Arabidopsis thaliana: one gene and its partner. The protein of the gene in region 1 interacts with the protein of each later gene in a pairwise test. Each region holds a gene or a part of one and is shown on either strand. Other genes may lie near its edges.

Region 1 (4,388 bases):
CTTAGCTTTAGACAAAAAAAAATCAGAGTCCGAGATTTTATATAGATTTCGTCTTTTTAATCAAAAAAGTTCTGATATATAACCTAAAAAGACTACGTAGTATGATCTAAGAGATTTGACAAAATTTGGTTGTAGAAAGTCCGATATTAAGCATTCTCATCAATTTCCCTTAAATATTTTTCTAAAATATTAGAGGAATACAAAAAAACATTCTCATTAACTATATAATTTTAATAACAGTTAAAACTTTCATATTTGCATGCCAAGGCTCTCTGATGAGTTTAAATGTTAAATCGCATGTGTAGGTTTAAACAGAGTTTATTGTTTGTGGAAAAATAAAAGAGACGTGGACTCGTCATGTGAAGTCCAAAATCTGCAAAATTATGTATGTAAATTAATGTACTTTGGGACCAGCATTCGTATGGACATTATTACCATAGTTGAATTTACTTCCCTTTCTTACAATAAGCTTTTGATTACTCATATATACCTCACACATGTTATGTGAATCGGTAAATTCATACTATATGTGAGGAAGTCACTTACAACAGTTGGATTTTAAAGGGAATCCGTCTGAAAAAAATTTGGAGAAAAAAAGAAATTGTTTTGCTTACATAATTTAATTTAAAAATTATAAATAACAATACTTTTATAAGAGAATAGTTTATCTGTTGACCAAAAAAAAAGGAATAGTTTATCTATCCACAAATGGATGATCCATATTGGAGTATATAGAACGATAAGAGATGATTCGATACGTACTAAATGAAAACTTTGAATACTGTGTATAGTAAGCAATCAGCATTAGTTTACAAGATCTTAGTTTTCGTAGGATTAGTTTAGACTGTTTAGTAATTTGATTCCAACCATTGTACAGGAGAAAATTTTTACCGCTCAAAACAACTAACTGAACGTCATACTTAATTGGGAATTTGGGAGTCGTCAAAGAAATGAAAAAGGTCAGATTAATTTATGGATTAATGAGTTTTATAGTCCTTATTCCAGCTTGACATTAGCAACATATACATTATTTGTGTGACATAATCAGGGAATATATATAATCAAAATTAATGGGATTTAAAATTTAATTATTCTTACAAAATATCAAAAAATTTAGTGTAGACGAACAAAAAGAGAATACATATATATATATAGTTCATTTGAAGAAGACGTGTATATGATCGATCCGAGTTGATAAGTATTAACAGATTACATACATATTGATAAGATGATGTGATCTCATCGATTAAGGTTCAATCTTTTAAATTGGTTAACTATCTGGTGATGACATGTCAACTAGTCGATTATGAGCATCATTAATGATCATGAACATGGACCACCTCTCTCTCTCTGTAAGATTATCTTTGCATCAAAGAGACAAAACATCCAAGAGACTAAAAGTATGGTCCTTGAGAGAGAAGAAGTCTCTTTAATTAGGTCTTTCTATTTCTCTCTCTCTCTATTAGTAGTAAAATCCATGTACTTATACGTAGACATAATAACCAAATAGGTCCGTGATGTTAAAGAGTACACACCTAACTTCACCTTGCTAATGATCTCTTACCTACAAACTCTCACTGTTTTTAGTTCATCTCATTACTCACTGTGACCCCATTTCATCTGCTTACGACCAATTTGGTAAGCTTTTTGTCTTAGTTTCAACATTTGCAGGAATCACTTTAAGAAACAACTAACTAAAAAGGAGATAACTTTGAAAAAGGAGGATTGATGGGTTTGTTTTTGATGAGATGGATATTTGTATATGTATGTCTAATGAGAGATATATTGCGTAGGGGAAGTGAATGTAGATTAGAGGTCTCCCTATATATTGATTGATTTTATCCGGCTATTTTTACCTACCGCGACACACGGTATAGATTCATAGTAAGCTACAATTTAAACACAAGATAAATCTGTAATCATATAGTATAGTACTATGCTTCCATATATACCCCATATTTACGTCTCCTATGCTTCCATACGCTAATTAGTTTTTTTTTTTTTCCAACCATAATTGCAGGTTTATATAAACATGAACTAACGAAAAAAATAAAATATAAACATGCACCATGGAGTCAATTTTAAAATTCTATGAGGTTTGATTTTCAAAAGGAAAAATCTAATATACTAATGAAAAAATTGAGATCATAAAAAAACTAATGAAGAAGTAGATTTATTTATTTTGAAAAATATGTACAAGTGAAATGTGGATCATTCTTTAGCTATATATATATAGGTGGATAAACGTAAAATCACGCACGCGGCCATGCTGCAGGGGTTAAATAGCAATTATGTATTTACCTTAAAAAGAATTTGGGAACCTCTCTTTAAATTAATGCAAAACCTCATCTCTTGTCTTTCTGTCTCTGAAACAGTCAACCTCATTCTTCTCAAACTCACTCTCCCTGATCTCTCTCTTCCATGGACGAAACCAACGGACGAAGAGAAACTCACGATTTCATGAACGTCAACGTTGAATCCTTCTCTCAGCTTCCTTTCATCCGCCGTACTCCTCCCAAAGAAAAAGCCGCCATTATTCGTCTCTTCGGCCAAGAGCTCGTCGGTGATAACTCCGACAACTTATCCGCAGAACCTTCTGATCATCAAACCACTACCAAGAACGATGAGAGCTCTGAGAATATCAAGGACAAAGACAAAGAAAAAGATAAGGACAAAGACAAAGATAACAACAACAACAGGAGATTCGAGTGTCACTACTGCTTCAGAAACTTCCCAACTTCTCAAGCCCTAGGTGGACATCAAAACGCTCACAAACGTGAACGTCAACACGCCAAACGCGGTTCCATGACATCATACCTTCATCATCATCAGCCTCATGACCCTCACCACATCTACGGCTTCCTCAACAACCACCACCACCGTCACTATCCGTCTTGGACGACGGAAGCTAGATCATACTACGGCGGAGGGGGACATCAAACGCCGTCGTACTACTCAAGGAATACTCTTGCTCCTCCTTCTTCTAACCCACCGACAATCAACGGAAGTCCTTTAGGTTTGTGGCGTGTACCGCCTTCCACGTCAACAAATACTATTCAAGGCGTTTACTCATCTTCACCAGCTTCAGCGTTTAGGTCGCATGAGCAAGAGACTAATAAGGAGCCTAATAACTGGCCGTACAGATTGATGAAACCCAATGTGCAAGATCATGTGAGTCTCGATCTTCATCTCTGACTTCTTTTATTTTATTTTTTTATCATCCATCATTGCTGTGATATATGAGACTCGCTGATCGGTGAAGCCAATTCTTTTGAGAGTGTTGGAGACTGAAAAAAAGAAAAAGAAAACGAGAACCGGTTTGGTGTGTAGATCATCTTGAACCTTTTTGAGGTTTTCACATTCTGAGTTTATATTAATAAAGGGAATAATATTTTGGTTAATTAGTAAAATTCGTTCATCCGTTTAATTTCCTCTCACGTGTGTGTGAATGTGAATGATATAATTATCGTTTTTTTTGTTTGATTTCATCTGTTCATTTGTGAGTTCTGTTATGGCTTCCTTCAAGACTCTCTATAACTTTCAGAGAAAGAGGAACATTAATTTAAGGGCCATGGAAGTCACACGTACTTTCTCTCTGTTGTTGCAGTCGAGATATTTAAAGTCTTAACCATTAAAAACCCCAGAAGACTCTTTAGATACAAAATGCTTAGGGTCTCTGTCTAATTAAAACGGTCTTTTACCGAATCAAGAGGCAACGAAGGATGGGTAAATGCAGATGTTGATGATGATTCGGTGACTGTGGGGATCACTGAAGACAATGGACAAGACAAAAGGGGAGAGAGAGAGAGAGAGTTGAGAAGTGAAAGTGGTCCATGATTACAAGTGTAGAGTTAGCCAAAGATAGAGCTTTCACATCTTTCTCAACACACAGAACCTAAAGCTAAAGCCTTTCCTCAAAAGCTTTCTTCTTTAGTTTCTTTTCTAACCTTTTTTTGGGCAGTTCAAAGAGAATCATCAACTACAAGCTGTCTACCATATTTCCTTGTTCATCTCTCTCTCTCTCTCCCCATATACCACAATGCTCAAAATATAATAAGAAAATAAAAATACTGGTTACAAGCCACGGCACATGACCATGTTTCTTCTTATTGCCTCCAGTGAACAGACTTTGAATGAAGTCCATATGCCCCAAGGCCTACAAGAATCACAATCGTATATCTCAGAAGAAGCAATGATATCAATCCTCGTACCTAACATATGACCTTCAATGTCTTAACACTAACCAAACATTAAAGACAACCATATTTATATAGCTACGACTTTCGGCATAGACCAAGATATTCAAATGCTTGACTTTTCCAGTTTTGGCAAGACTTCAATCACATATATATGTGGCATTGCCTCACACTACAAATATACTACAATAA
Region 2 (4,958 bases), on another chromosome or scaffold:
AATATCAACATTGTAATCTGTTTGGCCATTGTTTTCAGTTTAAGACAATTAACACTTTGGCACACTAGAATGTATTCAAAACTTCATAAATTCAAGTAATTACAATTATATAATGTTATTGCTTCGGTTCATAGCTTGGTGATAATCTTTTACTTCAACTATCTGTAATTAAGACAGGAAAGGATCTTATTAATTAGATTTAGTTACTGTCATATGCAGATATGTCTAAAAAGACGTATAGATAGACCTACAATTTCTAGATAGTAATAAATACTACTATTAAACAGTAGTAGCAGGTGTAATAGTCTTAGCATGTCTCTGATAATGATTTTTAATGTATAATTATTACTTTGCATACTTTATAACATCTTCTTTTTTTTAACTAATAGTTACACACATGATAAGTCCGTAGATATGAATACTCGAAGGGGAGAGTTATTTTGATTTAAGTTTATACAATTTTTTCATACGGTTAAAATAGTCAATAAGTCTGTAGTTAATTTATTAGTAGAAATTGATCAACTCACTATCTTTTTAGTTTGATCTTAAGGTCTTTACATTTTTGGGTGTGTCTTTTATTCTTTAGTTTATTCTTTAGTACATTTTTGGGTGGGAAATTTTAAAAAACAAGTCATGTCAAATAGGGCTAAAATTGAAGTTCCACTAAAATAAATAATTTGTATGAGATAATAATCAAAATATTGGAAGTAACAGAAATAAATTAACAATTGTGAAATTTACGTTTAGTCATGTCATTTTGGTGGACCTGTAACAATCAACATAATTGATAATTAGTTATTTGATGAGCCATAATTAATTTATATAAAAAAGGAGAAAAAACAGACTTGAGATAGTAATTAAGAAAACTACAAAACCAGGCAGCATAAATATCTTCTCTGATTTGCAACCTGTAACTTCTTGATTAAATTATTTTTCAATCTTACATCATAAATCTCGTTGCTTGAAAATAATGAAATTTAATTTTCTTTTGCTGAGTCTTACAAATGAATATGAAGCAATGAAAAGTAACTAAAAATCCATCACAGGAGTAAAAAATTGGAAAATGGAAAAGATGAAACAAAAACGAAAAGAAAATCAAGGAAAAAAAAAAGAGAGGTGAAAGGTGTAGAAGGTGGTGGCGTGTAGTAACGAAGTCTCTGTCAAAGTTTTTGATAAATTAATCATGTACTGTGCTGACACTCCAAGATTTGAAACAGCCTTATCGATATAATATCCATTTTTCTATTAAAAATAAAAATTGAAACTCTTCACTTTCCAAATAACTAGTGTATATGTCTAATAATGTATCCCTCACTATACTACTATTGTTTCGATTAGTCATTGTACGTATAATAAATTATTATGTATCCCAATTTCCAAACACAATAATAAAAAGAAATTTCAAGTTCGTAGATAAAAAAAAAGATACAATCTGAATCCTCTCTTTTATTTTCATCACTGACAGAGAATACCACTGCACTTTTTCTCATGCACGCACGCATACTCAGATAGAAACAAGAGCCCATTCCTCGTTTCTTTAATAATTTAATTCAAAGAAATACGGACACTTCATGATTAATTTTAATTTTGTAATTTTAAAACAATCTCGAGTTATGTAAAAAATATATCGATAAACTCAAAAATGTGATGTAATAATCTGCTTTGGCTTTGCTCTCTTTACTACAAGACAAGGCAGAGAAAACCACAGATTCCTATGAAAGAGTAGACGTACCTGTCTTTTTATTATTACTAAATTTATAATTATCTTCTCTACGACTTTCTGGTTTTTAATCTTTTAATAATTATTTTACTTTCACTACCCCAAAAAAAAAGCTTCCCTCTATTTCGCCGTTTTAGATTTACCAAATCCCAATGTATAAAAAAAATAAACTAATAAAACCAAAAAATAATATCCATCCACATTATTACCACGCCCCTTACTCAAGAACCATCCATTATATTAACCTATTTATCTTCTTCTTCAAAACATTTGAGTCTCCTTAGGGTTTTTTCTCTCTCAAACAAAAGCTTTAGATCTTTCTTCTTAATGGACATTCCGTATTACCACTACGACCATGGCGGAGACAGCCAATATCTTCCACCGGGTTTCAGGTTTCATCCCACGGACGAAGAGCTCATCACTCATTACCTTCTCCGCAAAGTCCTCGACGGTTGCTTCTCAAGCCGTGCCATCGCAGAAGTTGATCTCAACAAGTGTGAGCCTTGGCAACTTCCCGGTAAGAAAATACAAAACTAACTTACTTGTAGTTCTTTTGTAATTAAGGTTTCTGAAATCTTTACTCTCAATGTTACTTAGGGAGAGCTAAGATGGGAGAGAAAGAATGGTACTTCTTTAGCCTCCGTGACCGGAAGTATCCGACGGGACTGAGAACTAACAGAGCAACTGAGGCTGGTTACTGGAAAGCTACCGGAAAAGACAGAGAGATCTTTAGTTCAAAGACTTGTGCACTTGTTGGGATGAAGAAGACTCTTGTCTTTTACAAAGGAAGAGCTCCGAAAGGAGAGAAGAGTAATTGGGTTATGCATGAATATCGTCTTGAAGGCAAATTCTCTTACCATTTCATCTCAAGAAGCTCCAAGGTACTTCGATTTAACCTTTCATTAGTTATTTTGTTGATAAAGTAAAGCCTTAATTTTCTTTGATTAATAAATTTACAATCTATTATTTGGAAAAAAAATTCGAGAGTGTGACATAGTCGGTGACGTTGATTTTTTTCTCTTTTGCTTTATTGCATTTAATTTTGATGGCTGAAAAGGCATGGTTCTTTACTGTGGTTATCTGAGAGCATTATGGAACATGAAATAGAAAAGATCTGCTGTTTTTATGTATTGGGATTTCAATCATAATGGTGTTTTCCTAAAGTAAGAAAACATTCAATAGCTCTGATAAAATAAAATATTAATACATCCTACTTTTGGAAAGCTTAATGCAAAAAACCAGAACCAATGCAAATCTTCAGGATTTTTTTCTGACCTAGATATATTAAAAAGAAATTTAATTAAATTAATTTTACTTAATTAGTGTTCCATATCCATTGTAGACTTGTAGTGTCCAATGTACATTCCCTCTGTGCACGCTTTTACTCTATGGTTTTTCTTAATCTTCACTCTCTTTTATTTCCAAGATCTAACATTGACTTTCTCATCAAACATATATTATATAAAATATTTGACTTTTCAAAACTCTAATTTATTCCTTCAGGATGAATGGGTGATCTCTAGGGTTTTCCAGAAAACCACTTTAGCTAGCACCGGAGCCGTCTCCGAAGGAGGAGGAGGAGGAGGAGCAACTGTGAGCGTAAGCAGCGGTACTGGTCCATCTAAAAAGACGAAAGTACCCTCAACAATCTCAAGAAACTATCAAGAACAACCAAGCTCTCCTTCCTCCGTCTCACTCCCACCTCTCCTGGATCCGACCACTACCCTCGGCTACACCGACAGCAGTTGCTCCTACGACAGCCGTAGCACCAACACAACCGTCACAGCCAGCGCAATAACCGAGCACGTGTCCTGTTTCTCCACTGTCCCTACTACTACTACGGCCTTGGGCTTAGACGTTAACTCATTCAGCCGTCTTCCACCGCCGCTAGGGTTTGACTTTGACCCTTTTCCTCGTTTCGTTTCTAGAAACGTCTCGACTCAATCTAACTTCAGATCGTTCCAAGAAAACTTCAATCAATTTCCTTACTTTGGATCGTCTTCTGCATCGACTATGACCTCCGCCGTTAATCTGCCTTCTTTCCAAGGCGGCGGAGGCGTCTCCGGGATGAATTACTGGCTACCGGCGACTGCCGAAGAGAATGAGTCAAAGGTCGGTGTGCTTCATGCTGGACTTGACTGTATTTGGAACTACTGATCACAAAAGAGGTGACTTATAATTGTTCCCGTTAGGGTTTTATTTATGTATTTCTAGGATGATTATGGTATTATGAAATGTGTGTACCGAGGAGCTTAATATTGCACTTAGCTTGATGTTCCGCTTAATTCTCTAGTTTTAAGTTTATCCGGTTGTGTTAATTAGGAGGTAATATGCAAGGAAAATGTTTTCTAGACTATGAACGTGCATATGTATAAGCTATGCTCGTTTTTGTAATGTTTGACATTATGTTAATTTCATGGCTTTTTCATGTTTTATATTTCTCATGATATTTGACATGTGTCCTTGGTTATCAATACAATCATACAGTATATTACCGACAAAATGAATTTCTTCGGTCGCTTCTAGATACCTTAGTTTTCTTCTTGTTAATACAATTTGATATGGCGGTTATATATATGTTTCCGGAATTCAACCGTTCCGAATCTTCGGTTAGATGATTTCCGTAATTACATAACATGGCTAATTATTTAATTTCTTCATCAATTGAAGATGCTCAAATGTAAAACATGCATGTAGTTTTTGTTTATTAATTCTAGCTAATTAAGGTTGACATGTGTAACTGCCAAAATATTTCAAGAAAGTTTCATGCTTTTAAAGTAAGTACTCATAATTCAGTGGATTAATCAGTCTATGAACACCATTTTCAGTTAGGTGTATCTTCTTGCTACAATCGTACACATATGAGACTAAACACAACAATTTGCGTTTGGCTTAATTGATTAAGATAACATGCATGTACATGGTAGTTACTGAAAATAATTTACATACTAATTTTGATTAACTTAATGCATTGTAAACCCACCAAAGAAAAGAAGTAGTTTTGAAATTAAGGATTTTGAAACGGGGATGATGAATATGATGCGCATGCTGACGAACGGACCACTCCCAAATTCAGATCTTGTACAACAGTCCACCTCACTTTCAGAAGGATGGCTTTCACATTTCTATTTTTAGAAAGAGACATAATTAATAATACCTCTGTTTATTACCATTATATATGTGTTTTCATTTCACGTGTGTATACTAGTAGGAGTATGATATATGTATGTGTGTAACA

What was found. The genes of interacting proteins can lie anywhere in the genome.
Region 2: the proteins of ZFP8 (region 1) and CUC2 interact in a two-hybrid assay, tested with the Arabidopsis thaliana proteins (one large-scale study listed by BioGRID).

The regions. Positions count from the first base shown.
Region 1 is NC_003071.7:17,505,135-17,509,522, forward strand, and holds ZFP8 (zinc finger protein 8), read left to right. Parts: upstream 1-2,208; 5' UTR 2,209-2,421; coding exon 2,422-3,195; 3' UTR 3,196-3,482; downstream 3,483-4,388. UniProt on the Arabidopsis thaliana protein: Probable transcription factor required for the initiation of inflorescence trichomes in response to gibberellin and cytokinin. Is not involved in the regulation of trichome branching. Is functionally equivalent to GIS2.
Region 2 is NC_003076.8:21,900,885-21,905,842, reverse strand, and holds CUC2 (NAC (No Apical Meristem) domain transcriptional regulator superfamily protein), read left to right. Parts: upstream 1-1,988; 5' UTR 1,989-2,047; coding exon 2,048-2,237; intron 2,238-2,317; coding exon 2,318-2,601; intron 2,602-3,223; coding exon 3,224-3,877; 3' UTR 3,878-4,139; downstream 4,140-4,958.